4 linked regions of the Alligator mississippiensis genome follow. The protein of the gene in region 1 interacts with the protein of each later gene in a biochemical or structural test. Links are inferred from orthologs where the notes say so. Each region holds a gene or a part of one and is shown in the gene's direction. Other genes may lie near its edges.

What was found.
Region 2: of the proteins of CCNE1 (region 1) and ARIH1, one has a biochemical effect on the other in vitro, tested with the Homo sapiens proteins (3 studies listed by BioGRID). The link is inferred for Alligator mississippiensis from reciprocal best matches to the Homo sapiens genes CCNE1 and ARIH1.
Region 3: the proteins of CCNE1 (region 1) and CDC25A form a complex in vitro, tested with the Homo sapiens proteins (2 studies listed by BioGRID). The link is inferred for Alligator mississippiensis from reciprocal best matches to the Homo sapiens genes CCNE1 and CDC25A.
Region 4: of the proteins of CCNE1 (region 1) and PRKN, one has a biochemical effect on the other in vitro, tested with the Homo sapiens proteins (2 studies listed by BioGRID). The link is inferred for Alligator mississippiensis from reciprocal best matches to the Homo sapiens genes CCNE1 and PRKN.

What each region holds. Positions count from the first base shown.
Region 1 is NC_081833.1:57,478,388-57,486,692, forward strand, and holds the start of CCNE1 (G1/S-specific cyclin-E1), read left to right. Parts: upstream 1-4,908; 5' UTR 4,909-5,000; coding exon 5,001-5,014; intron 5,015-5,103; coding exon 5,104-5,194; intron 5,195-5,318; coding exon 5,319-5,387; intron 5,388-8,305. Other genes in the region: uncharacterized protein F13E9.13, mitochondrial, read right to left, coding at 4,591-4,663. UniProt on the Homo sapiens protein: Essential for the control of the cell cycle at the G1/S (start) transition.
Region 2 is NC_081834.1:44,697,029-44,704,804, reverse strand, and holds the start of ARIH1 (E3 ubiquitin-protein ligase ARIH1), read left to right. Parts: upstream 1-4,558; 5' UTR 4,559-4,671; coding exon 4,672-5,043; intron 5,044-7,776. UniProt on the Homo sapiens protein: E3 ubiquitin-protein ligase, which catalyzes ubiquitination of target proteins together with ubiquitin-conjugating enzyme E2 UBE2L3.
Region 3 is NC_081828.1:218,037,435-218,045,232, reverse strand, and holds the start of CDC25A (M-phase inducer phosphatase 1), read left to right. Parts: upstream 1-4,109; coding exon 4,110-4,165; intron 4,166-4,378; coding exon 4,379-4,699; intron 4,700-5,682; coding exon 5,683-5,768; intron 5,769-7,798. UniProt on the Homo sapiens protein: Tyrosine protein phosphatase which functions as a dosage-dependent inducer of mitotic progression. Directly dephosphorylates CDK1 and stimulates its kinase activity. Also dephosphorylates CDK2 in complex with cyclin-E, in vitro.
Region 4 is NC_081824.1:140,161,640-140,169,337, reverse strand, and holds the start of PRKN (E3 ubiquitin-protein ligase parkin), read left to right. Parts: upstream 1-4,046; 5' UTR 4,047-4,120; coding exon 4,121-4,127; intron 4,128-7,698. Other genes in the region: PACRG (parkin coregulated gene protein), read right to left, coding at 2,612-2,698, 3,262-3,408. UniProt on the Homo sapiens protein: Functions within a multiprotein E3 ubiquitin ligase complex, catalyzing the covalent attachment of ubiquitin moieties onto substrate proteins. Substrates include SYT11 and VDAC1.

The sequences.
Region 1 (8,305 bases):
TCATAGCTAAGTGGCTGCTAGGTCCGTGTCACGCAGCACTCTGCTGCCAAAAGAAAGCAGAAGGCCCAGACACAGCTCAGACCCTCCGATACCCCCTCCAGCTCACCAAGAGTGGGCAGAACTGAAAGAAAGCCTGCTTGCCCCTTGAGCTTCACCAGACACCCCACCCCTGGGAAAATTAAGAGTTGCCCCCATGGAAGAGGATCTGGGACAGCCAGACTGTCCCAGAGAGGAGCCCTGGGAGGAAACCATCACTCCGTTGACCACGACCCGCCCCCCAACAATGCAAGTGCCGAAGCAGAGGCCTCGATCACCCTGGGGTGGGTCGGGAGGCACAGCTCTCCCTTTCCGAACATATACAGGAGGTAGGAGCCCTGGGGCTCATCTTGACGAGCCCTGATGGGGAAAAGCCCCTTCCCAAAGGCTCCAGCGAGGGCACCGAAGCCACAACAGTACCTGACAAATGTCCTTCAGCACTCCCACAAAAACTCCCAGAAACCATCCCTGGCCCACACAGTGGTCCCAACACAGAGGGGTTCAAAGCAGGGTCCCCCAACAAGCAGAACAGGGACCCTGCACAGACCGTGCTCTGTTCTGCCCTTCCAAGTCCTGAGCTGACCCCACCCCTGCCCCAAAGGGCTGCATTGCTCCCTCCGCTGAAGTCCGGGGAAGCAGTGGACCAGGTGATTCAGATGGTTTCACCAGGCTTCTGCCCCCACTGGGCTGGAGGAAGAGGAAACAGCTGCCCCTCCAAGCAATCAGTTGGAGCCTGTTGAACCACAGAGCCTTGAAGAGGACAACTGGGAGTCCATGGACCATTTGGCCCTGGCGGTCCCCAGGGAGAAGCTGCTCCATTTCCTGGAGAAAGAGAGTGCGCTGTGTTCCCTGAACATGGTGCATCTCGCTCTGGACTGCTTAGGGACTTCCACTGCATCCTCAACACTGTGAGGACACTACTGGGGAAGGCAAGGGGCCAAAATGGTGCAACACCAGGACCTACACATGGGCCCACAGCTTTCAGAACACCCTTTACATCTCTGGGAGGGTGGCAGGGTTGCGAGGCCCCTGCTGAGCCAGCCGACACCCCCCAGCAATAGGTCATTCAAGATCATGACTATTGATGTCCACATCTGCAGGACAGGTCTCCACAGGTGCCAAATACTCTCCTTCCTTTGGGAAGGGTGGGTCCTCTGTGCTCTTCCTTCATGAGACTCACACGACTCCGGCCGCAAAGCCAGCTGGCAGCTGGAGTGGGGAAACAGGGTGTACATCAGCCACCTCACAGAGACATCATGTGGGGTGGCAACTCTGTTCTCCCTGAACCTGCAGCCAGAGATCCTCCAGGGTGCTGAGGAGGTGATGGGCCACCTGCTCCATCTCCGGGTCCAGGCACAGGGGTTTGTTCTGAACTTGCCGAACATCTTACGCCTCTATGCGCCACTCAGAGATGGCCTGATTCCACCTACTGTGCCACCCTCAACCCACACAAATGCCTGGTCTTCACCAAGGACTTCATAATGTCTCCCTCAAAGTGCAGGACTGAACAGGCGGGAGCAGAGCCAGGCCACCGCTGGGGTCCTCTCAGACCACTGCAGATGTCTGGTGTGCCTGCCACCCTAATGACACTACCACCTTCACCTTCGTGAGGGTGGAGAAGGATCAGGTGCACCAGTCCTAGCTGAACCAAACGTACGTCTCATTGCCAAACACTACCCAAATCTATGCCTTTGGCATTAGGCCAGCCTCCTTCAGCAAACACTACCTCATCTACCCTGGGGTCTCGCTGCAGCCTGAGTATCCAGGGCCAGCACTTTAACAACAGCCTGGTGGAGGACATGGATTTGGTGGCAGCCTTCCAGTTCTGGCTTGTCATGAGCTGCAGCCAGCTTTCCCCTTGACTTGGAGATGGCAGGATGTGGGGAAGGTGCATGTCCAGCTCTTTTGCCACAGCTACACCTGGAGGCACACCCGACAGAGGGAAGTGGCCAAGGAACAGCTTGAGAGGGAGATGCTTGGCCACTGACTTTGACAACATGTCCCTCTGCAGTGTTGGGAGAAGCAGGAGGAGCTCCAAGCTCTGGATGATTGTCATGGTCTGCCTGCGAATCCAGCTCCTTCGGGAGATGGGCTGCGGTTTGTACTTCTACGCCCTGGAGAAGAGGGGTACCAAGAAGCACATCGCCTGCAGGGAGGTTTGATATCCCCCAGCACTCGAACCCTAAACCCACTTTTGGAACCGTGTGCACACCTACAACTTGTCTCCTACAACCATACAATCACTCTGGGGAGACCTAGAAGAATTTAGCCAACAGACTAGCTACATTTTCCAGAGATCAACATGAAAACAGCTCCATTGAACATCAAACCAGTGGGGGATATCAAATCGGTCCTCTTCTGAATTGCCCATCAGTACCAACTCTTGATGCTCATGCTCCACCCAATCCATCATCCTGTCTTTGTGTCCCAGCCTGGCAACAAGTGGCAGGACACCCTAGGTGAGGTGGTGGCAAGACACCCTAGGTCCCCAGTGGCCAAGTCTCTATTCCACCAGGATCCCATGAGCTGCTGGGAACCTCAGCTGGCAGATCCTCCATGAAGCCATCGGGCATGTATCTGGCTTGCTTTACAGACACTCCCATCACCTACACCTTTTGCCAATAGAGGGAGACCCCGGCACATGTCTACCTCGAGTGCACCAGGTTGCAACCCCTCTTCTGCCTCCTTCAGAACCTCCTGCTGAGGTAGTGGCTGTACTTCTCCCTGCACCTTTTTTGTTATACCCTTCCCATCCCTGGCCCCACCAATCCCTGGGGTCTCCTGGTCAACCTCTTCCTGGCTCTGGCCAAGGTGGCCATCTACAAGACCAGGAAGGAGGCTCTGGCCAGGGGAAACCAGGGCAAGTGTAGGGCTGTCTTGCCACCACTCCTCCATTCAAGTCTCCAAGCAGAGTTTCACTGGTTGGCATCCACAGGCTCCCTCAACTGATTCAGGGGCAGTGGGTCCTGGCCAGTTTGCTCTACTCAGTGTCCCCTTCCAGATCCCTTATTTTGAACCTGTGACCTCACTCCCTTCCCTGCTTTTTTTTTTTTTTTTGTCCCAAGAAATTGGGATTCATTGATTTTTGGGTCAGAAGGGACCCAAACCACTGCTCTGGGAATGAAATTCAGAGGCTGCTTTCCTCACTCCACAGCTAGCAATGCCTTTTTCCTCCAAGCCAGGCAGCGGAAACACCATGTGTCTGGGTCCGTGAAGGCAGTTTTCCTTAAGCGTTCCCAGGGATCACTGCTGGTGTGGTTCAGTACCCGCTGAGGTGTTGGGGCTTAAAGCCCACTTTAAGGAAGTGGGAGGCTCCTCCCTTGCTTGCTCCTGCGGCCAAACGGCTGAGGTCAGGCAAAACTTGGGGGCATACAAACACTGAGTCCCCGGGTTTGGGCCAGCACGTAGTATGCCTGTCAGAAGACTTGAAATATCTAAAGCCCCTGGTGGGGGTGGAGGATGTCTGCCAGTTGTAGGGCCACTTATGGCTCTGGACTGACTCAGGATTTGAACTTGATTTGGCTGATTTGGCTTGGAACACAAAGTTTCTTTTAAAAAAAAAAAAATCCAAGCCCTTCTTGCATCTGGTCTGACCGGCAGTACCCAGCCACAACAACCTCCATGCTTTAATTTTCTTGGGATTTCCCAGTTGGTTTAATAAAAGGTATCATTTTGGAACCAAGAGTTCTAGTTTTTTGTATCAGGTATCCAGGTTGTAACCATATTGGTCTAGAGGAAAAGGCAATCAGGACTCATAGTAGTGATGATATCTTTTCTTAGACTAACAAGATTTTTGCAAAAAAAATTCTTTAATTGCAAGCTTTCAGGCAGCGTTCCCTCTAAGCCGCATGGCGTGTGACCGCACTGCCAGGCCAAGCATGCCACACAGTTTAGAGGGAACGCTGCTTTCAGGCACAAACACCCTTCATCAGGCGTTGGAGAAAAGATTGTAAAAGTCCTCCTGGGTAGACATGAAAATTGATCTTTTGTAGGCTTTCACAGAGGAATCAACACATGGAAAACTGCCTGTCTTCTTGTCCCACACCAACACAGCTACCAAGTACCCCCCCCCGGCCCAGGGAAGATGCTGAATTCTAGCCGATTTGGGATTTTAAACTTCAGTGCAGAACAACAGGAAAGGTTTTTTACCTACCTGCCTGCCAGCCTACGCCTCCAGGGGAGGAATCCCACCTGGTCTACAGCTCAGACACCCTGCTGGGCCTGGAGGGAGCCTCCCATCCCCAGCTCCCCTGTGCAAGATAGAAGTTTATTTCCTCCCTATGGGGACTTTTTACCATCTTGCACCCTCTCTACTTCTGTTGCCAGGCTGCACCCTCTCTACTTTCCCCCGAGCCTGACGAAGGGGCTCGGATCCCGAAAGCTTGCCGAAAAGGAGCATTTCCTGGCGCTTTCCCAGAGAAAGCTGCCCTTTTTGGATGGTCTGGTTTTTTTTCCTCTGTCTCTGGCATGGGAAAGACCTCCCCGGTGCGAGCGCGGAGCCCCCCGATCCCGGTCCTTCTCCCTTGGCCGAGGCCGAGGCCGGGCCCGGCTCACCTGGCAGCGCCCCGACGTGCAGCATCCCCAGCACCGCCGGCTGCAGGCGGCCGACAAGCTCCGAGAGGCGCATCCGACCCGGCCCGGCTCGGCCGCCGCCTTCCGCCCGAGGCCGCCGGCGCCTCCCCCGGCCCGCCCCGTCCAGGCCCGCCGGGCCGGCCGCTGCCCCCGCGCGGGCCACGTGTGCGGGAGGCGGCCCCGCGCCAGGCGTTTAAATGTCCCGCTCGGCAGAGCCCGCGCCCTGCGCACGGGCGGGAGCGGCGGCGGCGCCGTGAGGCTGCCCGCGCCGAGCTCCCGCCCTGCCCTGCCCTGCCCTGCCCTGCCCTGCCCGGCTCATCCCATCCCATCCCATCCCATCCCGGCCGGCCGGCCGCCCGCACGTGCGGGGTCTTTGTGCGGCGCCCAGCGCCATGCGCCGCGAGAGGTGAGTCCGCCCGCGGGCCGGGAGCGGGGCTGGGCCCAGGCCTGGGCCTCCCCGCGCGCCGCCCTGCCTCTCACCGCCTCTCTCGGCAGTGCCGGCTCGGGGGAGAAGGTCCCCGCCAAGGCCCAGGCTGCTGCCGACGCTGCCATGCGAGCCCGGAAGAGGAAAGCCGACGTGGGCACGGTGAGTGCAGGCTGGGGCAGGTGAAGCGGGGCTCCTGGCTCCTGGGGCCCTGCTTGGCCAGGTGCGGTGTCCCTCACCCCTTAGCATGCGCTTGTCTTCTTTCCCCCCTTCCTTTCTCTTCTAGTTTTTGCAGGATCCCGATGATGAAATGGCCAAAGTGGAAACAGGCAAGAAAAAGCAGTGCGGCAACCAGGTAACCGACTCGGCTCGGGATTCGGGGGGAGTAAGGCCGCTGTGATGTTTTTCCTTGTTTCGGCAAGGTGATGCCCATGGCAGCACCGACTGGTCCTGCTCCCACCCGGGCCACTTACAAAAATACACACAAAATGGGGAAAACTCCTTATAATTTTACACGCTGTTTTCTTAGATCCTTTGCTGCCACGGAATAGATGAGACCCGTGTCGGTCAAACCAAAGTAGGGTTACCAGACGTCCTGGGTTTGTACGCTTTTTTTTTTTAATGTCTAAAGGTCTGATCTTGCATTGAGCTCTGCACGGGTGCACAAAGGTCCTTCATCTCTGTACAAATGTGCATGGCGGGATTGGAGACTTGAAGACAGATGTCGCACGTAACTGTCGATAAGCGTGGATCTGACTGGAATCGCCCTTTTCAGATGTGAATTTACGGGGGGGAAGGGTATGCTTTCATCATCCCTGCCCCCATTTGTTCTCACCTTAGCAAGCACTGTTGTCAAAATGCCAGAAATTAAAAGGTGCAGAGTTAAAATTTGGAAATCCACATGCTCTACACCAATGCATGTATAATGCAGGGGGGGAAGTGCTGCATCTAGAGTTTCTCTAGGTGGGGTAGAGTAGAGTAGTTTCTATTGGAGCACTTGAGGCTCTGAGATAGGGCCAATAGGCAAATGTTAAGAGGGAGATGTCGTCACATAACAGGCATAGTCAGCTTTCTGAAACTCCTCTGTGACTATTAAGGTATCTTAATTTTGAGATTAAAACCCCGGACACTCTAGGCTGCGTGTTTGTTGCAAACTCGGCTTCCACTTTGTTTTTGTTCCACAAACTTGGGGTTCTGTCAGTTGCTGCCCCACACTTTTTATATGTAGTATAAGATATGTGAGAGTTTTTAACGGTCTTTGTGAACTTGGGCACCTTTGGAAATGGATGCAGAATAAATTTGACTGAGGCACAGAGAAATACAATACATAGACCTCATACAGAGCCTCCGTTGTTAGGACTTGAGCCAATTAGTGTGCGCAAAGGGTGATATTTAAGCTGCAAAAGTCATGATTTGGGGAATACAGCCCCTATTCATTCAGTATGTAGGGCTATGCATAATGTGGTACAGCTAACCAGAAGTGGCAGCTGGAAGTTTGAAGACTGAAGCGCTACCATAACAGATGGGCATCATTGTTTGGAATGGCCTCTGCTCGTTGCAACTGTGTATACTAGTTATCAGTCAACATATTAAGTAGGGCTCAAATGGTGAACATTTAATGAGAAGATCTAGTCTTCCCTTCTGTCTCTCTATGCAATATATTAAACTAATTTCTCACTTCTGACAAGGGGGATATTTATCTTCACCACAATTCCTTCTTCCCTAAAGTGGTGTTTTTTGTTTTGGGTTTTTTTTTGTGACTATCTACTAAAATTCTTAATGCGAACTATGATATTTACCATCTTCCCCGAAAAGACAACGGAAAGAAAAACTTGAAACATGTTTAGCAAGGAGGCCTACAATAACTCTCCTCTTAAGTTCCAGAACTAGGTATAGCGTTACGGTGTATATTGGATTCGGTCTATGTTGGAGCGATCTGTGAAACAATTGGCATATGGCAACAGAGCTACAGTCCCAGAGTGTAAATTAAAATATAATTTCTGGTAAAGCCTCATGGCACTGAGGAGAATTAAGTTCTGCAACTCTCTGTTTTATAGATAAAAATGGGTACCTCTTCCCATTTAAAGAAGATTCTTTGTTGTAACAAAGTATCCAGATTGTTGTGGATCTGTAAAATGATGAAGCTAACATTTGGCTGCACAGCAGCAGCTCTTCAGTCTGTGGTGTGACACAAGCTATTCTCTGATATAAATTGCCATGGGCCACTAATGAGAATATGTATGCCATTTCAACAGTAGTATAGCAGGCTTGTGTGATATCCAGAAAGAAAGCAAGATGGTATGTAGCAATGGTATAACTAACTCTAATGTGCTGCACTGGATTTATAGCCTCTTGCAAGTACCACGTGACATTCACATTAAACGGTTAGGCTCTGTTTTGCTCCATGTAAAAGTAGCACTGTCACATCCCACTTATGGCGTGTTCATGCTCAATTCATTAGTTGGTTTCTGTTGAACATAAGGCCCAGGCTTTTAATTAGGAAGCTGTTACCCTTTATGGGATGAAAGGGTTGTTATATCATCAGGCTGGTAGAAGCAGAATTCTGCATTTCATTTTGAAGATAACTGGTACTGTTGTAATTCTCTTAGCATTTCCCAAATGGATCGTGGTCACTAACTTGTGTACAGGTATGTTTCCAGCATTTGTTGTGAAACACAGCTCCTCTAAACAACTATTTATTGTTTTTACATATCTTAATAAAGAATGATTTGGGTGAGTTTAGTAACCCACAGAATCCTTTGATGTAAATCATGTAGCCTACTGAATTTTAGGGCAAGGAATTGAAACTAGAGCTGCTCAGAAACTTTTCAAGGAAACTTCCTTTGGAAAAGGGTAACTACTTGAAGTGGAATAAGACAAACCAGTTTATAACACTTTTGGAAGAGTTAAAGTCAATGAAATATTCTATTTCAACATACCTTCAATACAGGATTCTCTCCAAGTTCTTAATTTAGGATAAAAAGACCAAATATCTTCAGGCTCACAAATCTAAGGTTTTTAAGCTTGTTCTTATTTGGGACAGGAACTCGAAATTATTGGAAAATATAGGACGGAAAGATGATTTCTTATCTAGCTCTGATTGAAACCTTAAGCCCCAGTAGTCCCTTCTCTTTCATCTTCCACTCCTTTCCTTATTTCACCCCCCCCCCTTAATTTTTTTTCTTCCCTTCTTGATCTGGATATTGTAGAACTGCTTTGTGAGGCTTTCTTGTAGCATAACACTTCAACAAGATCTGTCATTATTTTTTGCAA
Region 2 (7,776 bases), on another chromosome or scaffold:
CCCAGAACCTTCCCCCTGCCTGTGCCAGCTGGTCCCAAAAGGAGGAGGCTCCGCTGCTGCTTCTGCTGGCCAGTGCCCACACAGTCGGGCTAGCCCTGTCCTCAGCAGCACCTGGTAGGCTGGCTTCAGCCGCATGCTGCTCCGGATGGGATGGACCCGGCCGGGTCTGCACCGGCCAGGAAAGGTGGCATGCAGCTGAAGTCAGCTCCTCACGTGCTGCTGGGGATGGGAGGAGCCCAGCCAGGTCTGCACCAGCCAGCAGAAGCGGCAATGGATCCGTGTGCCGCTCGGGATGGGACAAGCCCAGCTGGAGCAGCAGGGGCTCAGCTGCACTTTCCCCCTGCCTGCACCGGTCAGTCCCAAGCAGCACATGGCTCCGCCACTGCTTTTGCTGGCTGGTGCAGACCCCGCCAGGCTCCTCACATCCCCAGCAGCACATGAGGAGCCGACTTCAGCTGCATGCCGCCTTTCCTGGCCGGTGCAGACCCGGCCGGGTCCATCCCATCTGGAGCAGCATGCGGTTGAAGCCAGCTTCCCACGTGCTGCTGGGGATGGGGCAAGCCCGGCCAGGTCTGCACCAACCAGCAGAAGCAGCAGTGGAGTGGTGTAACACTCGGGACTGACTGGAGCAGACAGGGGGAAAGTGCAGCTGAGCGTCCTGCTCCCCCAGCCCCAAGCAGCTCCTTGGAGGCTGGAACGCTGCCCACCTGCAGGGGAAACCTGCTGTTTCCTTGCAGGGAACAGAAAACCCGGATCCCTGCATGTGATACTGGTTGGGTTGCCAACCCTCCAGGATTGACCTGGAGTCTCCAGGAATTAGATATAAATCTCCAGGAGACTGCTGAGAGTCACCTAGGTGATTAAATGATAGGGCATTCATTAGAATAAATTTTAAATGTTGAATCTGATTTATACAGTAGTCCAGTGGGTTTTTAAAATGCAAGTCTTGTGTATTTGCCTTCCTGATGTAAAGTCTATACACTGTAATCCATAACTGGCATGAATGACGCATGCCCCTGGAGGCTGGGGGTGCACAGCAAATGGCCACAGGCAGCGGCAGTGGGGGGTGTGGTGGCGGAAAGCTCCTGCAGGTGGCCACGGTGATGTCGGTGGCAGGGGTGATGAGTGCTGACCAGCAGTCAATGACCAACTGTAGACACTGCAGTGTCAAGGGCAGCCAGTGGCAATTGGCGACTGCCTGCACATGCCGCCAGTGTTGTTGGCTGCAAGAGGGGAGGGTGGTGAGCAGTGACTGCCTGTGGGCGCCGCTGGAAGGACCAGCGGCACTTCTGTGGGGGGGGTGCACCGCCAATCTCAGGGGGTGTGCACCTGCGTGCACCCCCTACACATTGCCAATCATAACTGATATACGTAAGCACACAGGCATGTCTGTGTTGAGTGGCGGGCGTGCAGGCATGTCCGTGTTGTGTGGTGGGTGCGCAGGCATGTCCGTGTGTAGCAGAAAGCCCCCTTTTCCTCTTGCTTGCATTTGCTCTCCCCTCTTTGGATATGTTTCTCTTTTTCTACCTTTTCTTCCTTCCTCTCTCTTTCACTTTAAGATAAGGAATTGTGTTTTAAAATTTGTGTGTGCGCATTTTGTATCTCCCCTTGTAGTTTGGTATTTTTATTTATTTGTGTGCCATGGCATTTGTAGCTTATATTTTATACTCCTCACCTTTCAACTTTCAACTAAATGTGTTTTAGTAAGTTATACATTGTAACAATGTTAACAAGGGCAGGAATCAAACTGCCCTTCCCTGTATCAGGCTGGCCCCTGAAAGAGAGAGTGAATCAGTGATTGAATGTGTAACAAGGTAGCACACAGCAATTATCACCTGGAAGCTGCAGATCAACCAAGGGAAGAACTCAATAGAAGACAATGTAACAACCGGGAAATCTCTAAACGTGGCTGATCAAGGGCTAGAAGCCCTGGCCTGAGTTAATCAACACCGGGGACCAACTTTTGGGCTGAATATCTCCAAATCGACCACTCCCAGAGCCCTATTCAAAATTCATCAAAGGACTCCCAAACCTGCATGTACATGCAGACGACCCTGGGGCTGACAGATGCCGTCAAGTAGCCACCGAGGGGGGAAGTCCCACGAGGGTCAACGACACCTGGATTGGGCAAATCTGAAAACTGGGGAGTCACCAAAGTCTGCCAAGGACAGATAAAAGGGAGTGAAAAGTGACCCTCAGTGGCGCCCTCTTGATCTCGATCTCCAACTCGACCAGACCTGTCCAGCCAGAAGGACCAGCTGGCGACCCCCTTCTGGAAGATAACACCGTGCTGAAAGAAGCCTCAATGACAGACACCAGCACCTGTGGGATAGGTATAACTGACTCTGTAGCCTGCTACTGTGTGTGTGTGTATGTGTGTGCATGTGTGTGTGTGTGGGGACTAGCCCCAAGGTTTATGATTTAACTCATTACAGTGTTTCAATCCGCCTAATAAACTAGAATTTGAAGGATCCCGAGTTGGACATTTGTAGCCAACACGTGTTGTGTCATGGGCGCACTGGCATGTCCTCGTTGTGTGGCAGGTGCACAGGAATGTCTGTGTTGAGCAGTGGGCGCTCAGGCATGTCCATGTTGTGTGGTGGGCACACTGGCATGTCCGTGTTGAGCAGCAGGTGCACTGGCATGTCCGTGTTATGCGGCAGGTGCGCTGGCATGTCCGTATTGAGTGGCAGGCACACAGGCATGTCTGTATTGAGTGGCAGGCGTGCTGACATGTCCGTGTTGAACAGTGGGTGCACAGGCATGTCTCTATTGAGCAGCAGGCACATTGGCATGTCTGTGTTGAGCAGCGGGCATGCTGGCACGTCCATGTTGAGCGGCGGGCGCACTGGCATATCCGTGTTGAGCGGCGGGCGTGCTGGCATGTCCGTGTTGAGCGGCGGGCGCACTGACATGTCCGTGTTGAACAGTGGGCGCACAGGCATGTCTGTGTTGAGCAGCAGGCACATTGGCATGTCCGTGTTGAGTGGCGGGCGCGCTGGCACGTCCATGTTGAGTGGCAGGCGCGCTGGCACGTCCATGTTGAGCGGCGGGCACGCTGGCACGTTCGTGTTGAGCGGCGGGCGTGCTGGCACGTCCGTGTTGAGCGGCGGGTGCGCTGGCATGTCCGTGTTGAGCGGCGGGCGTGCTGGCATGTCCGTGTTGAGCGGCGGGCGCACTGACATGTCCGTGTTGAACAGTGGGCGCACAGGCATGTCTGTGTTGAGCAGCAGGCACATTGGGATGTCCGTGTTGAGTGGCGGGCGCGCTGGCACGTCCATGTTGAGTGGCAAGCGCGCTGGCACGTCCATGTTGAGCGGCGGGCACGCTGGCACGTTCGTGTTGAGCGGCGGGCGTGCTGGCACGTCCGTGTTGAGCGGCGGGTGCGCTGGCATGTCCGTGTTGAGCGGCGGGCACGCAGGCATGTCCGTATTGAGTGGCGGGCGCACTGGCATGTCCGTGTTGAGCGGCAGGCACGCTGCCATGTCTGTATTGAGCAGCAGGCACATTGGCATGTCTGTGTTGAGCGGCGGGCGTGCTGGCATGTCCGTGTTGAGCGGCGGGCGTGCTGGCATGTCCGTGTTGAGCGGCGGGCGCGCTGGCATGTCCGTGTTGAGCGGCGGGCGTGCTGGCATGTCCGTGTTGAGCGGCTGGCGCGCTGGCGTTCTGGAAACCTCCCCAGACAGACTCCACCAGAGCTGGCACTACTAGATCCTGGGACAGTAGCGATTGTGTCCAGGGGAACCTGGGACAAACGCTGCCCCAGAGCTACGCAGTCCGGGCCCAGGATTCAATGTTCATATTTTGCGACTGTCCTGCCCAATTCGGGACAAGCGGTGACCCCAGCTGCGCCTGTCGCTCCTGTTTGTCCTGTGCTGCCCCGTGTTCGGGGCCTTCGGCGTCTTCCCATGGGAGCGACCCTGCACGGGCGCCACAGCGTCAGGACTGGTTCGGGTGGTTGCTGGGCCCCGCACACCAGGGGCATCGACAGCCTCAAGCTGCCAGGAGCTGCCTGGTGCCCTCCAGACTGGGCACCGCCTAGACCAAACACTAGGCTGCAGCCCAGCCCAGCCCAGCCAGACTTTTTGTTTTGTTTTTTTTTGTTATTAAAGTACCAAAAATATACATCTCAACAAAGAAACTTCACAAATTTCACACTTAAAACGGACATACGGCTGGGGTGGGGGTGGGGATAGGAACGGGCCGCCACACTCAATATGGCGGATCCACTGCCAAGCGTCAGGGCAGCGACCCCCCCAAGATGGCGCCGGAGAGTGCGGAGGAAAAGCAGGCGAGCGTTCGCTCCACCAAAGGCTCCACCGCCACACTCAACATGGCGGCCGGCGAGGGATTGTTTTTGTTTGGCCACACCCAAGATGGCGGTCCCGAGCCGAGCCCGGCGTGGGGGGCGGGGACGCAGGGCACGCAGGGCACGCAGCGCGGCGTGCGTGGCGTGCGCAGCGCGCGGTGACGGAGCGGGGCCGCCGCGTCCCTTTGTTGGCTCAGCGGCGGCAGCGGCGCCTCGTTGTCCCGCGCGGCGCGGGCGGGCGGGGCGGGCGGCCTGCGCGGGGCGGCAGCGCGGGCGGGGCCCAGGCCGGGGCCGAGGCCGAGCCGGAGCCGAGCGGCGCGGGGCTTATCCGGGGCCGGGGCCGGGCCCAGCCGCCGCCCGCCATGGACTCGGACGAGGGCTACAACTACGAGTTCGACGAGGACGAGGAGTGCAGCGAGGACAGCGGCGCCGAGGAGGACGAGGACGACGAGGACGAGGACGACGAGCCCGACGACGATAACCTGGACCTGGGCGAGGTGGAGCTGGTGGAGCCGGGCCTGGGCGTGGGCGGCGAGCGCGACGGGCTGCTGGGCGGCGAGACGGGCGGGCTGGGCCCCGGCGGCGGCGGCGGCGGCAGCGGGCTGGGCGGTGGGCCGGGCCCCGGCGGCGGCGGCCACGAGCAGGACGAGGATTACCGCTACGAGGTGTTGACGGCTGAGCAGATCCTGCAGCACATGGTGGAGTGCATCCGCGAGGTCAACGAGGTCATCCAGGTGCGCGGGGCCGGGGGGCGCTTCCCGCCTGCGACCAAACAGCGCTGGGCCTGGAGGAGACCCCTCCCCGTCCCCCTTCCCCACCCCCTCCCCGGCCCGGCTTGATGCTTGGGCCACGCGGGGGGTGGAGGCGGTGGGGTCATGGCAGCGCGCGGCCCCCTCCCCACGCTGCCCTAGGAGCTCTGCCGCGAGCGCGAGTGCTGCGGCTCCACCGCCCCTGCCTGACATGGCTCCCTTGCAACCGGCCGTGGCAACAGAAGGGGCTGTGGACAAAACGTGGCTTCCCGTCTCCTGTGGAGGTGCCGGGAAGCTGCGTTGGCATGAAGGCAGGGCAGGGGCCGCCGTTAGCGGCAGGTTCAGGGGGGAGCAGCAGGATTCGGACCTGCTCTCAGCTGTTGTTTTTCCTTGAGAAGGTCCCGTGTTCCTGTAAGTGGTGTTGGGCCCCCCTCCCCTCCCCTCCCCTCCCCTCCCCACTGCACCGGAAATGCTCGCGTTGTCCAAGGTTTGCAGGAATAACATTTTGATGAAGGTGGCAGGGATTTTGGTGACACTAAAAGCTCCAGTCGGGAGGGCTATTTATTCTACTGTCTTCAGACAAGATGGTAATATTTTAGTGCTGATGAGTCACTATTTACAAACCAGATGCATCTTGCTGCCTTGTGTCAGCTTCTTGCTACACAATGATGACAAGAATTAAACCACTGGTTTCAAATGGCCCCTGCAGAGATGGGCTTCTGTAGGGTTAAGTGTTTACAGTAAAGCGATGCTTAGAAATGATTGTGTGCTGTCATTCCAGTGTTTCTTTTTTCATTTTACTTCTGTGTATGCCAGGCGATTTAGGATGATGGAGCGCATAGCAGTGCTCAGGAATTGATAGCAGCCTCTAGAATCAGAAAACAGAACTAGGCACTGTTGCTTTTTTTTATATAGATGTGCTCACAGAGTAAATCTTGCTGTGTAATATCTGCCATTTCCGTGCTGAACAAGGCAGATTTAAAAAAAAAAAAAATCATCCTCTTGTAAAGAGGATATTTTGGTACTTAAATTGGACTTTGAGCACTTCACGTTGTAAAACAAAACTTTGCCAATTTTGAATTAAATTGACTAACTTACTGTCCTCTGATCAAATACTGTAAATGAAAAGTAATTGAGTATTGGATATTTGCTGCCAACCAGTTCTGTGGTTTGGCTTTCTTTAAGGAACATTCAAAGTCACTGAATAAGTACCTGGAAAAAGAGTTGGTTAGAAGCAATATATATGTTTTGTACCTTCTGCCTGTAGAGAAAATAATTCTTTATCTCAGTTTGCTCAATTATTGTAGTTCAGCGACTAGTTTATTCAAGTTTGGTATCAATGAGGACTTGGACAAAATAGGAAAGCTTGAGAGAGAGCTGAGATCTACTGGTAAAATCTTGAAGGGCAGTGGACTGGGAGGAACAATTGGTTTTGTTTAACAGCCATAGATATACTCTTTCTTTAAATATAAATGCTTTGATAACCTTTTTTATATTAACTCAGTACACTGTTACATAAATTTGCATTTTAAATGCATCTTACATTATTAAATTAAACTACAGTTTCCACTCGTGTAGCCTGACAGAAGCTAGTAGTCAATAGTTTGTATAGAAAATGTGCACAATATTCTCATGTTTATTAAAAAGGTGAAGAATAAGGCAAATATGTGTATGCTAAGTTTATTACTTACACAAATATAGATATGGAATATAGCTTCTTGATTAGCAACAAAAATAGTACTTAGCAGGGGCTATATTTAGTTGTAAATCAACATTTTAATAGTTCTACCAGCCATTAAGAGATCAGCCTTCCTTGAGTGAAAGTAGCTAAAATGCATAATTGGTAACTTGCCAGCTGTGATTCTTTTGCAGTCTGACCTGGTGTTGACAGTCTCAGCCAACTGTACCCCAAGTAGATCAGTAAAACACTGAAAAATGCTGGTGCCAGTGAGGAGTAGGTTGAGAATACTTTCTTGTGAAACTTTCTAGGCTAACAGTTCAACATCACTTGCTCCTGTGCCTCATTCTCCATTAATTTCTTGGTCTTACTGCCTCTGCAAAGCCATTGGAGTCTTGTCCCTGGTCACCTAGCCTTCTGTGGTGAAGCTGTGAAGTCCATACAACCAAAGGATAGATGTTACTAAGGGGTAATAGAACCTGTAGCTCCTTTGTACGTGCAGGTAATCACTGGGGCCTGATATTGCGTTGCACTTCTTTCCCACTTCTTTAAGTGGGATGCTTTTTATAGGAGCACAGTGGACACCCCCTAGTACAGAATGACTTAAAGGATCAATGCTTAAATGACTTGTGCTGTCTTTACTGATGTTTATATGTGTTTTTGGTTCCAAATTAGTCCTCAGTTTTCAACAAGTTTTGCCAGTTGAATGGGCATGAGTTCAAAAAACATTTTTGGTGTTCAGGCTTGCATAGTACCATAAACTTTTGACCTAATATGAGCTTAAGCAGAGAAGTATGTCAGAAGAGGGGTAAGGGAAAGGAGAGCATTTAATTGTTCATTTGAATGACAACTTATTACTAATGGATTGCTTATCTGTTTGGGGATAAGTAAACTTAATTCAGTACTTATAGAGAGGCTTAAAAAAAACAAACCCCAAACCCAAAATTAATCTTACCAATATTTTATCTTTCTCAGTCTTCTATTGCTGTTTGACTTCTGCTGAAAGCTTCCAGGATTCTTGTCCATTTTTGTGTCTCTGG
Region 3 (7,798 bases), on another chromosome or scaffold:
TGGATCATCCCCACCCAGTGCTGCGAAGCCCCTCGAGAGCGCTCCATACTCCACGTTTGAATGGGTAAGGGGAGGGCATCATAGCACTCTGCAGGGGCACAGGAAGGAGGAAAAGCCACCTGAGACACAGGTGGCTTCAGTAAAAGAAGCATGGGAGGAAGTTTGGGGCATAAATACTGAATAGGAACGCCATTCTGAGAGGAGCCTGGTGGCTCGAAGACCTGGGGTTTGGTTGCTGGCTTGAATCGTGACTTGAATTAAGATTGTTCATCTCTGGGGCAGCCGATGCGGCATCTTTCCTAGACCCCAAATTCGTAGCAATTTTGACCGCCCTCTCCTTCCTTGTTTGTGCTTTCCTACTGGCTTGAAGCAGTAACCAATAGTAAACGGTGTTCATAGGCTGGTTTCTTCCTCAAAAGCTTTTGAGCAAATCAAGCTAAGTGTTCCTGTGTCCTTGCAATGACATGGGTCTGCGACATCCGCCAAGGGGTTGGGCGCCAGTCGGTGCAGCTGTGATGCATCGAGATTTCCGTATGGGTATTTCATGTTAAAGTACCATCTAGCGGCAGGTATGGGGAAGGTCCCCGGGAACCTTGCAGGCTCTGGCTTCCTGCTCCAGAAATTTGGATTTTACCATCGGAAATTCTGCTGCCGTCCTCCTCCGTTTCGGTGCTAAGACAAGCTTTTAATTTCAGCTGGAAAGCAAACGCCTGTTTCTCTAGCCTCTCATCCCTCTGCTCCTGGGATCTAGGGGCTGTCACCAGGGAGCATTTTGGTGGAAAGCCCTTGGCAGAGCGATGGCAGCATATCAATGCCCCTGGGAGACTGAGTCAGACCTGCAGGGAACGGCCACCAACCCAACATTAGCAGCTCTGGCAAATCCTGGTCACTTGGGAGAAGTCTCTTATTCCAGATGCATTCACAGACCACTTCCACGCCTCTTCCTGCAGCCATGTGAAACCGGTCCCAGGCAAGCTGCCATCGCAGGAGGAAACGGCCCATCCTAAAGCTTTGGCTTGGGGGATGCTGTCCCTGTGTAGCACCTTCCTTTTCACCTTTTAAAGACACGCATGCGTGTTCATGTGATAACGGTACTGGAAGGGGGGGAAAGGAATTATCAAGAAGGGAGGGAATTGAACCCAGATGTTGTGACAGTTCAGGGAGGAGGCTGAGAAATGCACAAATGCATTTTCCTCTCTTGGAGGCCTGCACATGTCTCGCATGAGCAGGGAGGCTACAGAGCCGCACACAGCACCTCTGCCAGGGACCGCGCTTCCTTTCCGCTCGGCAGCTCTTCTCGCAGGCAGGTGAAAGCGTGCCGCAGCACGCCGCTGTGCAAGGATGCTCGGTGGACTGCTCGTTCTGATGGCTAACGAGAGAGAACAAGTAAACCAGACCTGGGGGTGCGGGGGGAACTACAAAAAATAAACCAGAGCGGTGAGCTGCAGGCGCCTGGTGACTCTCGCCAACTGGAAGATGCTAAAGAGCCAATGAGTTAAATATGATCTGCAAAGGGGGGGAAATGAGCTTTTGGCTTTTTTTCCCCTTTGGATGCATAAGAAAGCCATGGAACATTATTTTCACAATAGAGGACTGCATTACTAGTAGGGTTACTATGAGACAAAAGCCTGAAAACTGAGCAGCTGAGAGGGGAAGAAAGGCTTAATCAGACTATTTGGATTCTTTTGGGGTTTCTCTGTTAGCCCCAAGCTTTGCTTTTTGCATGTTGCTGCTTTTCTTTTAGCTGTTCATTGCTGATAGATAAGTGGTGTCACATGAAAGCAATAGCCGGGCTCCCCTTGTCCACGCGTACACAATGCATGGATTAGGGATCATGAGCTGCTCTCTGGCTCAGCCAGAACGGCCTCAAATCATACTCTAAGTCAGTGTCTGTGGTGCGGGTACCACCAGTGGTACACGTTGGCAGATTTATTAGAATTATATGACAAAAAATTAATGGTTGTACTTCAGGCCAAGCTGAAAAAATTGCTGGTGGTACTTAATGCTGTATCATTTTAAACTGCAGTTTGGGAACCACTTCTCCAAGGAGGTTTCTGCCCGGGGTTGGGATAGTGTCCCAAGGGACATTTGGAGCGTGGTCAAGATTGCTGAGCCTCCCTTGGCACAGGGGCCATCTATCCATTACCCTCCAACCTTGTATATTGGGATCGCAGCTCTGCATGATAAAGAAGTGTTACTTAGCGCCTGTTTAAGTCAAACACCTGGAAAACAATAGGGAGAAAAAGGTTTAGGGATGAATGATTCACCCACCTCAATCATAACCTTTCAAATGCAAACTGAAGAAACCCCTGCCAGGTGCTTATTCTAGTTCTCTAGGAATACAAGGCTAACTAACCCCAGCATTTCTTCGGTTAAAAAAAACATCTAGAAAAACAAAATAAGAGATAAATTTAAGGTCTAATCCTACACTAAGGTGACTTTTTGGCTGAATGGAGCCCCATTGAACCCCAGTGCGGAAGAGTCCCAAGAGTGCCGCCCCATTGCTTTCCATTCATGTTCGCACTGATCCTTTCATCTACAGCAACGGTTCCCAAACTCTGACGGGTTGCGCACCACCAGTTTAAAATGATACAACCTTACGTGCCACTAGCACATTTTTCAGTTCAACCTTAAGTACCGCCAGGAAAGTTTTGTCATATAAAGTAGTTGTAATAAATCAGTGAATGCGTACACTGACAGGTTGTGGTGGTACGCGTACCGCTGATCTACAGCATTACTGGAGCCGAGGGGTCGGAGCAGCATTTCCCAATCCCACGGTCCTAACCAGTGGAATACACAAGGGGCCGTGTCATTGAGGGTGTGATTGGTGTCTTTGTGTAATTGCTGTCAGTTGTGTGATTGCTGTCTTCTAACACTCAAGACCTATCTGCAGCATTGACCTAAACATCCCGCTCAGTGACACAAGGATGTGCAGTGGTCTTTCTCTACACTGTGCACACACACGTACACACACAACATTGGTAATGAAACCCGTGACGCTCCCCGCCGCGGCCGCCTGGAACTGACATTTTGTGCAACGCCTTTTTATTTTGAGCTATCAGCCACCTTTTACCAAAGCCTTCACACAAAAGCGGTGCCGCATCCAAAGCAGACGACCCTCGTTGATCTTGCAAAGCTCTCACTTGGATCAGAAATGACAGGAAGGATGTGGAAGGGAGGGAAGGGTGGGGATCATGGGTTGGGGGGTGGTTGGCTTTGTCATCAGTATGTGTGATTTGTGAAATAAAGTACATCTTTTCCATCCCCAAATCGGGGTATAAACTTTTCTTCTGTCGTGTATAGTGATAATGTAATGGTTTGGGGCTTGTGTTGGGCACCAATAGGGCCAGGAAGGAATTCTTCTCCCTATTACAGGATTCTGGTTTTCTTTTGTTTCGTCTTCCTCTGATGCGCTGGGTGCGGGTCACAGCTACGGCTGGCGATGCTGACTGGCCCCTATATAGGAAGCCCAGATGCTCCTAGATGGAAGGTCCTGAATGCTCATCCTCTCGGGGGCCGCGCCAATCTCCAAATCTGGGGTCAGGAAATAAGTTTTCCTCGAGTCAAACTGTCAAAGGCTGCAAGGGGGTTTTGCTTTCCCACGGAGCATGGCTGGCTGGCCTTTTCTCTGATCGTGAGCAAACACTAGCCCAGTCCTTCCCTGGCATTGCAGCGACAGGGCGCCGTGTTTCCCACGACACGTTGTAGGGTGTCGCTCATCCCCACCACCCCGCGGGGCAGCAAGGTGCCTGGCAGCAGAGATGCGAGGCAGCTAGGGTGGTTTGCTGTCTTCATCCCATGCCTCCAGGAGCTGGGGCTTGACAGGAAAGCACGGAGCACCGAGAGGCTCGTCCTAAGCTAGCGAGGCCGGCCTGGACACTGCGGGAATGGCTGCCATGTGTGCACCTCATGGCTGTGTGAGGCTGGACCAGGACCTGGGGGCCAAGCTGGGTCTCTAGAGCAGCCTCATGCCCCACAATGAAGCTGGGTGAAGGGACTTGCGGACTACAAGTCCCAGCATGCAATGCGCCCGGCGGCCCAGCTTCCCCTTTGGGCCAAGAGGAGCATTGCATGCTGGGACTTCCAGTCTTGTTGGCGCTTGCGCCAGCATGGGGTTGCATGCTGTTGGCTTGCTCACGAGAAAAGCCGCCGACGAGCCCATCGAGCAAGCTTAGTGGTCGGGTCTGCTGTCAAACAACCCTGGGCGAGGGAGGAGACAGGGCTAGGCTCGTTTCCATTGGCCGCACACGAGCCTCCTTGTCTGTTCTATTGGTCAGCACTGAGGAGGCCTGTTAACCTCTCAGGGACAGGCTTGGGGGGATTGGCTGCCGGCAAGGCGAAGCGCCGCGTGCTATTGGTCACTCTTTCCGTCGCTCAGCGCGACAGCTGGGCCGGGCGAGAAAGGGAAACGAGACTGGCGCCAGGTGGGCGGGCTGAAATTGGGTGCCGCCGCTGCTGATTGGTCGGCGCGCTTTGGCGCCAGCTTCGGAGCGGGGGGGCGGCGGAGCGGGAGAGCGCGCGCGCGCCGGCTGCGCTCAGGGACGGGGGCCGCGGGGGGTCAAAGCTCCCCTGCGCTGACAGCTGCGCTCAGCGCGCCCGCCGCCATGGAGCCCCCCGCCGCCGCCGTCAAGGCCCTGTTCCCCGCAGAGCTCTCCCCGGTCACCGGCCTCGGCTTCGCCCTGGGCCGCCTCGGACGAAGGTGAGACCCCTCAGAACCCCCCTTACACAAGCCTGCCCTTCCCCCACCCCTCAAACCCCCCTTTACACAGGCCTGCCCTTCCCCCACCCCTCAAACCCCCCTTTACACAGGCCTGCCCTTCCCCCCCACCCCTGAGGTGACCCCCACATCCCCTGGTCTCCCCTAAACCGAGGCGAGTGGCTGGGTTTGGCCGCCGGCCACCATCCGACTTTCTCACGGGTCTCGTCCCAAAATCGATTCCAGCGATCGCACCCGTTGCAGGGAGCGTCGTCGTCTTCCAGGATTTCGAACCGTGCCGATTTTGACTTAATCTGCACCGTTCTGGTAGGGCCGAGACGGGCGGAAGGAAAACTGAGATTCTCTTTAGAAAGTGTCTGATTCTCGCTTGGGAAGGCGCAGGTGGGGACCCGAGACGCTCCAAAGCCGGAAAGCAAAGAGCGCGCTTTCAGTCGCGGCGGTTGTGAGCCCCCGTTCGTGGTTGTAGAGCTTGGTGGGTTTTCGCACGAGCAGTGCCTCTGTGGAAATACACGTGAGAACACGCGGGGGTTTATTTCCTGAGCGGCACGGGGTCCAGGCCAGTGGCGGGGAGTGTGATGGAGCCACTAAGTACGCTGTCCTTACAGCGACTATTCAAGACTGCTGGGTCCTGGAGCCGTGACCACGTCGTTCATTAAACCAGCGGTTCTCAATGCTTTTTAGACTTGAGGTCCTCCAAATCTAATGGGTGTCCCCGCATTAGACTCGAGGCCCTCCTCAAAAAACACCGGCTCCCTGCTCTCCCTCACGTCGCTCGTGAAATGATACCAGAGCAATTTTTCTGTTGCAAAGAACTCGAAAAGCTCGCAACGGGTCGACATGTTTTCTGATCCCTACTTGAAGCTTGGGTTTATCTTGTAAATTGCACGCGGTTTATTTGTCGTCTCTCCTTTTTCTTAATGAAAACCATTCAATAAAATAACTCACTTATTTTGGGATCTTTGTAGCCAATTTGAAAACTCTGAGCAGATGCTGGAAATGAAGAACGGTAACAACCTACAAAGAATGGCCTCGTCAGAATCTACGGACTCAGGTTAGATTGCTTTAATCGCAAATAAAAGCTTGGGAATGAACAAGTGGCATCCTCTTGTTTGCTTGATGTCTGTAATGGGCAAACTTAAAGTTTTAAAAGTCCAGGCTAATGCTGCACGCTCTCGGATAGCTAATCACGTTAGTCTGAAGTCAGGCAGAAGATGGTGCGGAGTAGCACGAAACCAACTGATTCAGAGGCACGACCCGTTATAGGCACCAACGTACTGTGTCAGGTGCTATGAATGCAGTGCCAGAAAGCAAGGGTTTTATATAGAAGGGAGCAAGGAGAGGAGCTGCTGCTAAGAGAGGTAAGAAGTAGATTGACTGGGTGAATTAAAATGCAGTTAACTGCCTTGTTCATCTTAAATTGATCTAATCGAACCACTTATTACTAAGTCTCTTGGCAGCTGTTTCTTCCCTCTGTTCCCTTCTGTATAAAAGCTCTTCTTTCTGTCAGCTGAACAGCTTGCTGTCAGAGATGCCTCAAGCCTTCAGAACTTAGTTAAGCATCAGCTGAGGCTTTAAATCACGGTTTTGTGGTCAGTGTCTGTGCAGGTGCTAATAAGGGAGGATCATTTGTGTCCAAAGCCAACTTCTCCTATACCTCCTGGTGGCGCCACATGCTGGTTGTCCCCCTAACTGCTGAGCTTGCCCTCTGGGGTTAGTTGTGTGTTAGTGATGCCATCTTTGTCTAGACTAGCAGGGATGTGGCTGGTGTGCTACATACAAAGCTCCATGCCCTCCCTCCCCAAGTGCAGTTCTGATCTCCTTCTCCTGCCTGACCTGCTGCTCTGCTTTCTGTTCCCTCCCTGATCTATCATATGCCATGCACATGGGCTGCCTGTGCCACTAGTGTCCACCCCTGGTCTAGCCCTTGGAAAGTCCTGAGTGGGGGAAAGGTGCTACCTTTGTTGCTTACAATTGCTTAATGCTTTCCTAATCCTAAAGACCTGAGCATCAGGGATTAAAGACCACCTTTTTCCTTAGATGTGTTCCCCCTTTCATGTGCAGCCTGATAAAACTTGCATAAAGACAGCAAAGCGGAGTGAGATAACAGGAGGGTGCAACATGGAGACGTGAAGAGGCAGCTTGCTTCTGTCCACTTGTTTAAAACAATTCTTCCAGAGTCCCTTGAGGATATCCTGTAAGCTCCAGCAAAGCTGCTTCATTGTTCTCCTTTAAATACTTCCTTAAGACTCCTTTCGTTATCATGCCTCCAAAGAGCAGTGATTAGGCAATGGCCCGAACATGCCAGAAGCCTACATTGCTGACCAATTTTTCTTTGTATTTGCTCATCAAGGTGAGGTGGATGGGTGTGGAGTGCCATTGTGCATAACGATGGGTAGACATCACATCACACCCATACAGACATCTGAAGCTGTTTGGGGCAGGGAACCTTTTTGCTATGTACTAGATGTTTTACAGGCACAACTTTCTGGCTCATGACCTACAATAATAAAATATAGGCTCCTGGAAAGCAGGCTTATAATTGTTGATGGTCTTAAGCATACCAGAAGGAAACTGCATCTGTAATGTTGCAACTTGAATGCACACACGGAACATTTGAGGTGGAGATTAGGAAGAACTTTCTGACTCTAAGGGTGGTTAAGTATCTGTATAGCCTGTTCTGGGCTGGGATGGTTTTAGAAGTGCTTCTCCTCTGAGCAGAGGGTTGGACTACATGAGGGCCCTTCCAGCTTTATTCTTCTGTGATCTAACTCTGAGGTGCTAGCTCGCTTTCTTGATACTGATTCTTCTTACAAAGAGCTCGGTAGATAATGAGATGCATACTCTTAATTTAGTTGGGATGAAGTGGAAGTAAAACTTTATATTTAAGACAGAATTCCTTAGCAAAGTTGCTTCCTGTTAGTTTGTGTGCATATATATGTAAAAATAAGCAAAAATATAATTAATAACACAGTTTTAAGGCAAGAAGCTTCTTCATACAGGGCAGTACCACAGGATGCTTCTTGTAACCAATATTTATGGCCAGAAGCATTAATGGAAGGGAGGACATGTGTCGGGGACTTT
Region 4 (7,698 bases), on another chromosome or scaffold:
AGGAAGCACATTACTTCAAACTGGATCTGCAGCATCTGCATAGATCAGGCATTTCAGCAGGGTTTTTTGGCACTTTTAGCTAAAGCTTTTAATTAGCTATTAAATTAAAGCCCCACTAAAGCACCCGATCTCTACAGTTGTCAGGCAAGCTGGGTCTAACTGATGTGCTGCCTCTTGTGGGCATGTGCTGGGCTCAGCATGAGAACATGGCATGTTTAAAGTACCTTTTTTTTTTTAACATCTGCAAGCAGCTCTGGTGGTCATTTGAAAGAGCAATTTGGGAAGTCCTAGGCAGCCTCTCTCATAAAAGTATATGATATTAAGACATGACGGACAACTGAAGGGTGACTGCCCAGAAAGTAAGGGCCGCATCCAGGGGCTTCACGGCCACCTCTGGAAGTTCACCCTGCCACTTCAACATCAGTGAATCTCAGACTGCTGTCAGGTTGTTTTAAGGGTGATGCAGGATGCCATGCAATATTAGCACTGTTAGGCATGCACATGATTCCCAAGATAGACCCAGTAGGCATTTATACACATGCTCTGGGAGGCGGGGGGTGGGGGTGCTTTAATTACAGCTGCTCTAATTAAAGCATCAGGAGCAACATGTGTATCAGCATCCCTACGCTGAAAAATGGCAGCAGGGACACTTTGACTAAAGCTTATCAAATGAGCTTTAGTTAAAGCACCCCCAACTGTCATTTATCAACACAGGGATGCTGATACACGTGACACTGGATTCTGCTGGAGCATGGTAGTTACCCCATTCCAGCACAGGTACTATGGATTATGATGTGCTGTAATTAGTGTGTCAGAGCAGCCTCAATGTACGTGGATAGGTGCCCAGTGATTTCAAACAGGAATCCATAGTACCTACTGAAAACACTCTGACCCGTTGTGGTCTTTCTGAGCCCCTTGTAACAAAAGACTTGCTCCATTGTTTTCCCATTGTAAAAAAAAAAAAGAGCAGAAGCTAAGAGCTATCACTTTCACAGGGGTCCCAAGGGCTAACAAGGGGTGCCTTAGGTCTAAAAAAGGTTGATAATCATTGGTTTAGATATGCTAGAGTACAATCTAATCATGTAATAAAGTGTATTATAAAAAATAAAACCTTAAAAGTGAGATCAAACCAGTGGTAGAAAGTTTAACAATTGCCAAAGTTGAGGAAATAGAGACAAGCAGGATGTGAAATCCCTCCAACTTTTTCAATATGTTGTTCTGGTACATTAAAAAGATTTATACATTTACATTCACTACGAATGACCTTAGTGAAACTAACTTGCCTACAATTAAGTGCTCATATTTGCAGGAGTGTAAGCCTACATTTTTACATAATAAGACTGCAGTCTAAAGGAGGGCTTTTGGACATTGCCATCCGACAAGTGTTTACTCCTTATATAGTCTAAAATTCTGTTATTAAGCCTCCCCAGTCCTTCAAAAAGGGGACTCAAGACTTGGTATTTCAGAATGAAGGAAACCCACAGATGGCTGAAACCTTTCTTTCTTTTCATGTTGCTTTGTTGGATCTAATCTAATACCTGCTTAAGCCAAAAGGACATCTTCTAAACAGTTGAAGCACATTGTGTGAGGCTTTACAGAATGGTAATTTATGATCAAAATATAATAATGTATTTTTTAATTAATGTTGCCAATTATCTTTTTAGAGTTAAATGTAAAAATGAAAACTAATTATGGAAAACACTTTTTTCCCCCCAAAAGCTGAATTTGTTTGATTTGACTGTAAATATTAAATCACATACATTGTGTTCTTAGTACTATATGATAATAGGTTAGTGCTAGGAGAAGCTTTGCTTTTAATTACTGTTGGCTATAAGATTATTTGGGACCTCTAGAAAGGGAAAATGTTACTTATCAGGTATTTTCTAGAACAGAACGTTTTTGTTTATATTTAAAGTAGACTTGCTTATGCTTAATTGTCAATATTTGCTGTATATAGTGAATTCCAGAGACCTGTGAGAGAAGTCTCTAGCATTTCTTTTTCTTTTCCCCAGGAAAACAAATATAAATTAAAAAAGAGAAAAAAAGAATACTGTTATATACACCTTGAACTGTACCCACAAGCAAACAAAAAGCCAGTCCAGAGATTTGAGCACAGATGTTGTGTACTTGTAATAGCTCGTTCCACTTGCAAACTGAGCAGCTGCATTCTGCACTAGCAGAAGCTTTGATTTTTATTTATTACATTTGATGGGAGCAATCAATTAACACAATTATTGCAAAAAAGCTTCATTACAAACACAGGGCCCAATTCTGGACTCTCTACTGATGGCAGCCATCCCAGGATCTTCAGTGGAAGTGCTTCTCTAGGGACTATTAATGAAAGTAAAGATTACTGGATCCACCCCTGGGTCATCTTCATCCTAAAAGCTATCAGCTGGAGAATTACATCCTTTTCAATGTACTATTCACTAGTATTGTGAGAGTTATTTTTGGAAGTTATTATTAAAAAGTGTGTTTTTCATTATCTTCATGGTTATTTAGTGATGTTCAACTGTTTCTTTCCCTCACCTTTTCCTAGGGGTTTGCTAAAAATACATTGGGTTAGCTACGTTAACTAAAAATACACACTTAGTACCATTACATTATTCACCTGAGGCTCTGAAGCATGATCTACTGTACATCTCCTGTCCCCTGTCTCTCTGGTCACCACTGGCCCTGCCCAGGCCTTGGGAGTCACCTGGGTGCCAGAGACAGATTTTTGCCATATGATTTGACATTTGTCATAATCGCGCCAAACAGCAACTTGAGAAGAAAACATTTTTGCGCCATGCTTTTGCACAGTACGATCGAGTGCATGCCCTGTGGATACCCTGGCCCTCTGATGCAATGTGAATGGCCGACAAAAAACAACATCGTGCCACAACGGCGCCGACCTGACGCATTACGAAGCTCAGGAGCAAACCCTCTGGAGGGGACATCTCCTCCTTCACATGGGCTTTTCCCAAGGCCTGGAGGCTCTATCAGTGACCGCTGACCTCCACAGAAAGACCTGCCAATCCCACACAACCCTGTGGCAAGTACAGTCCCCAACACTCTCTCAATACGTCTTTCACAGGCACATGAAACTAAACCAGCAGTGCTCAAACACCTTGGCCTACGGGCCACATCTGACCCTTTGGAAGCCCCAGTGAATGATGCCATCTCTCTCCCACTGCCCAACCTCTGGCCCCGTGGGGAGCACGGTGGCAGGAGGCAGAACCTGCCGGGCGCACCACACAGTCAGGCAGGCAGGCAACGTACCACGCTGTTCTTCATCATGGCCTTGACGGTGAAGCCGTCGCTGACCTGTGGCTTGGCTTTCTTGGCAGGCCGCAGTGGCAGCTGCTGTTGTGGGGGGAGGTGCCATGCTGGCTTCAGGGCACAGGCGCCCTGCTGCTCCACCACCATCTTGCCCCGCACCTTCCTAAAAGAAATAAAAGGAAAGTAGGGATGAGAAAGGAACCAGGGGCAAGGGTTACATTTATTGCATTTGGAATAAATCTAAGAAAATTTACATTAAATGAACAAAACAGGGATCAGAAACATGTCAGCCAGATGCAAAAAGAAGTCAGCCCTCCCCCCCCCCATGGGATGTCCCTCCCACCCCACCCCAGAATGGGATGCTTCCCCCCGCCCCACAATTGGATGCTTTCCACCCTCTCCCTGCCACCCCCACAATGGGATGTCCCTCCCCTACGCCCCACAATGGGATGCTCCCCCCGCCTCACCCCGCGGGGGCTCGCGGCAGGGGCGGCTGCGCGCGGGGTGGACGCTATAACCGAGTCAGTCGCCAGCGCGCGCGCGCTTCTAGGGACGCGTTCCGGTTGCTAGGCAACGCGTCAACAACCTGTCGGCTGGCCGCGCCCGGTCACGTGCGGCAGCCGAGGGAAAGGGGGAGGAGTAGAGGTGTCAATTTGCGTCGATCACGTGATCCCACGTGAGAACTACGCTCCCCAGCGTAGGTTGCGCCCCTCCCTTTCCCAACCGCCCGCTGAAGCAGCTACGGCACCAGCAGCGACTTCGCTGCGCAGGCGTAGTGTGACTCAGCGGCCGGCAGGGCGCAGGGCGAGGCTTTGCGCAGCGCGGCTCCTCCCCCCCCACCCCTCACTGCGCCGGGGCTATGATCGGTGAGTGAGTGAGACCCGGATGTAGCGCCCCCTTTTTTTTCCTCCCGCCCCGTCCCCAGCGGCCACCATGACGCAGCGCGCGGCGGAGCTTGTGACGTACCCCCCCCTCCGTCATGCACAGAACACGCCCCTCCACTGGCCCTCAGTGTGCCCCTCCCCCCGCAGGCCTTTGGGGCCACGTGGGCCCCTGTTTGTGCTTACCCCTGGCCCTGAGTCACGAGGGTGTCAGTCCTCGCACCCTGGCTCCCTGAAGCAGGTGGCCTGTGCCATGGTCCTTGGCCACGAGAGAGGAAGGGGTTGGCTGGGCAAGGGGAAGTGTGAGATGCCCCAGCCTTTACTTACAGCCCAAGCCAGAGGCAAAGGCCTCAGGGTTCCCAACCCTCCAGGATTTCCTTGGAGTCTCCAGGAATTAGATACAAATCTTCAGGAGACTGCTATGAGCACCCCCCACCCTGGAGATCAGTGATAGGGGTCTCATTCAAATAAATAGGAAATGTTGAGTCTGATTTATGCAGTAGTCCAGAAGGTCTTTCATATGTAGCAGTATCGTGCATTGGCCTTCCTGGCCTGAAGTCTACACACTGTAAACCGTAACTGATGCATGCAGGCATGTTTGTGCTGTGTGTCGTTATGTCATGGGATGAAACCTCTCAGAAGAGATTCAAACAGAGTTGGCAACCTTAGACGGTCCCGATATCTTTCTCTTGACCCTGGGGCCAAGTTGTGAAGGCCCAAACTTCTCCCTCATCCTTTTTTTTTTTTTTTTTAATTATTTCCGGGTTAACCTCTTCCAACCACAGTGCTGGCATGGTCTCTTCTAGTTAACTGCCTCCAGCTTTGCTGCAGTGCATCATTATAAATACTGGTGGCAGCCATTGGGGCCATCTTATCTTCCCTTGCTCTGGTGTTACCCAGGGTTCAAATTACATCAAATTTGATTCTTCCAGGGGTTTGCAAAAGCAATTGGGCTACCCACAGTGCCATATTAACGCATAGGCAAACCAGGCACATGCCTAGGGCCTTAAGTGAAGAAGGGGACCAGTTGTGCTTATTTACATATTATAATTACTGACTGAAAAAAAGTAGGGGCCCATGAATTTGTTTGCCTAGGGCCCACTAAAGGGTTAATCCAGCCCTGGCTGCTCATCACTATGCTCTAATAAAATTGGAGACTCCCCCCAGGTTATGATTTTCAAATCTTACAGGGGAGCTCTCATCTCTTATGCAGGGGACTCAGCCCTACTGAGCTCCCCAGTAATTCAAACCTTGGTGTTACCCTTCCTGGCAGCAGAACTAAAGCGGGGCAGTTGTGTGATCTGGGTAAGGTGCTGTGCTGGTCATCCTTGAGGACCCTGTTCTACATTCAAATTAAAACTGGATAGAAACCAGTTATATTGTGGTTTCCTGTTCTCAAATGCTAACTTTGTAGCTGGTTGTCTCTCTTTAAAGCAGGGTAGTTATTTTTATTGTGTGATTGTTACTTGCCGCATGTAGCTGGTCTAAATTTATTGCAGGATTAACTTGTTAATTGTATTACTTTGCATGTGTGGCCTGTCTAAATTTATGTTGGGTAATTGTGTAATATCTGTAAGTTATAGTGGGCGCCTGAGTTAGCAATGTGCAGCCTTCTGATAGCACGACCATTCAGTTGTTTCACTGGCTATAATTTCGTTTGGAAAGAAGAGACAATTTATCTTCAGTATTTCCCTTCCATCATTGTAGGGCTCCACCAAACACAAAAGCCACCTCTTCCCTTACTACGTCTCTTTCCCCCCTGCGTCTCTCTTTTAATTTCATTTTTGTAATTTGTTAATTATTCACAGACAAGACCAAAGGAGCAGAAAGTGGGATGCTAAATGAATTTAATACTAAATAAAATAAATTATTTTCCTCCACCCACAGATTTTAAATGCTTTTCTCTGCCCTTCATATTGGGTGTTTGTCCACTTTCTGAGAACTGATCAGTTTTGTGATTGTTGGACACATTGCCCAGGCAGCAACAGTAATAATCCAAGAATTCGGTAATGGAATTGACTCAAAGGATTTTGGACACTATAAACTTCATGGCTTTTACCCTTAGAAATGTTCATTCCTTTTTAACAGTAATGTTCTGGTAAAAACATGTACTGTAGTGGTATTCTTTAAAACTAAATTCTTCCCAACCCTGTCAAAAAAGCACAAGTTTGATCATGTGGTTTTCCATCTCTGAATATTCATGGAAATAAGTCTCTTCATAGCTCTATACAGTCCATACCTGGCCTTTTGTCTGCACGTAGTTTTCTGATACAGTAGAGAATATGCAAAAGTCTTGATTTCAGGGAAAATATTGTAGTATCCACATGTACTTATATCTTGATAAAATATATGAAGGGCAGGTTTCTTGTTTACAGGAATACATTTTATTTATTTTTCTCTAATTCCTGTAAAAAAAATTAGTATGTTACAATTTAAAAAGGTGTAAGTATCTCACATTTCTGAAGAAAGGCTCAGGAGTTAGTTGCTTGAGGTTGTGTTAGGGTTAATCTACCAAGTTCTTTATTGTTACTTAGTTATTTTGCATTCATAGGATATGACTTTAAAAGAATGAAAAATATAAATTGATCAGAAAAAATCTCAAAACAATTGTTATATCCCAACTGTATATTGGTTTGTAAGGCTGTGCGAAACGGCACCGTTCCATTTTGGCTTGAGTTTCAAGGTTTCAACAGAACAGCATTTTGTTTTGAATTTCATTTCAATTTGAAACCGCTGTTCTGTTCTGTTTTGTTTTGTCAAAACAGTGTCACTGTTTCGACGCTGTTTCGCCATTTTGCCCATACAATATAATGGGGAAGCTTAAAACAGCCTCTCTCATCCAGCAGGCAGATGGGGGCCCGCAACCGTGGGAGGGCTGCAGGGACTGTGCCGGTCCTACCGGGGCTGCAGGCCCCTGACCTGCCTGCCAGATAAGGGAGGGAAGCCGGGTGCTGCTGCTTGGGACTGGGGAGCTGGGGAAGGGAACTGAGCCCGATCACTCAGTTCCCCTCCCCAGCACTATGATCAGGCTGGGGAAAGGAACTCAGCCCAGCTGAGCTGAATTCCCCTCTCCAGCACTAGGATTGGGCTCCCTTCCCCAGCCACATGGGGCTGCAGAGCCGCTGGGAGCACAGCCCTTATTCTTCCCTGTCTCCCATCACCTGGCTGCTTCAAAAGTTTTGAAATGTTTCAACTAGCCTCGTTTTGTTTCAAGGCTTTTTCGAAGCCCTTTGTTTTGATTTGATTTTGCTGTTTTGAGCTCGGAATGAGTCGAAGCAGTGTTGAATTGAAAAATTTGGTGAAATTTTGCACAGCCCTATTGGTTTGGTTTTTTTTTAATGAGCAATCACATAGGCATTATATATTCTTATCACCAGAGTGTTCTTATGGCAAACCTTTTCGGAGAATGACTACAGGTTCTCCATGTCAGTGGATCCATAAACTCATGTAGATTTTTATAGACTTCAGTGAAATTTTTGCTGGGGGGGTTTGTCCATATAAATGGCACCATTACAGGATAGGCATGTTTCGTTTTCCCTATGAAGTCAAAAGGACT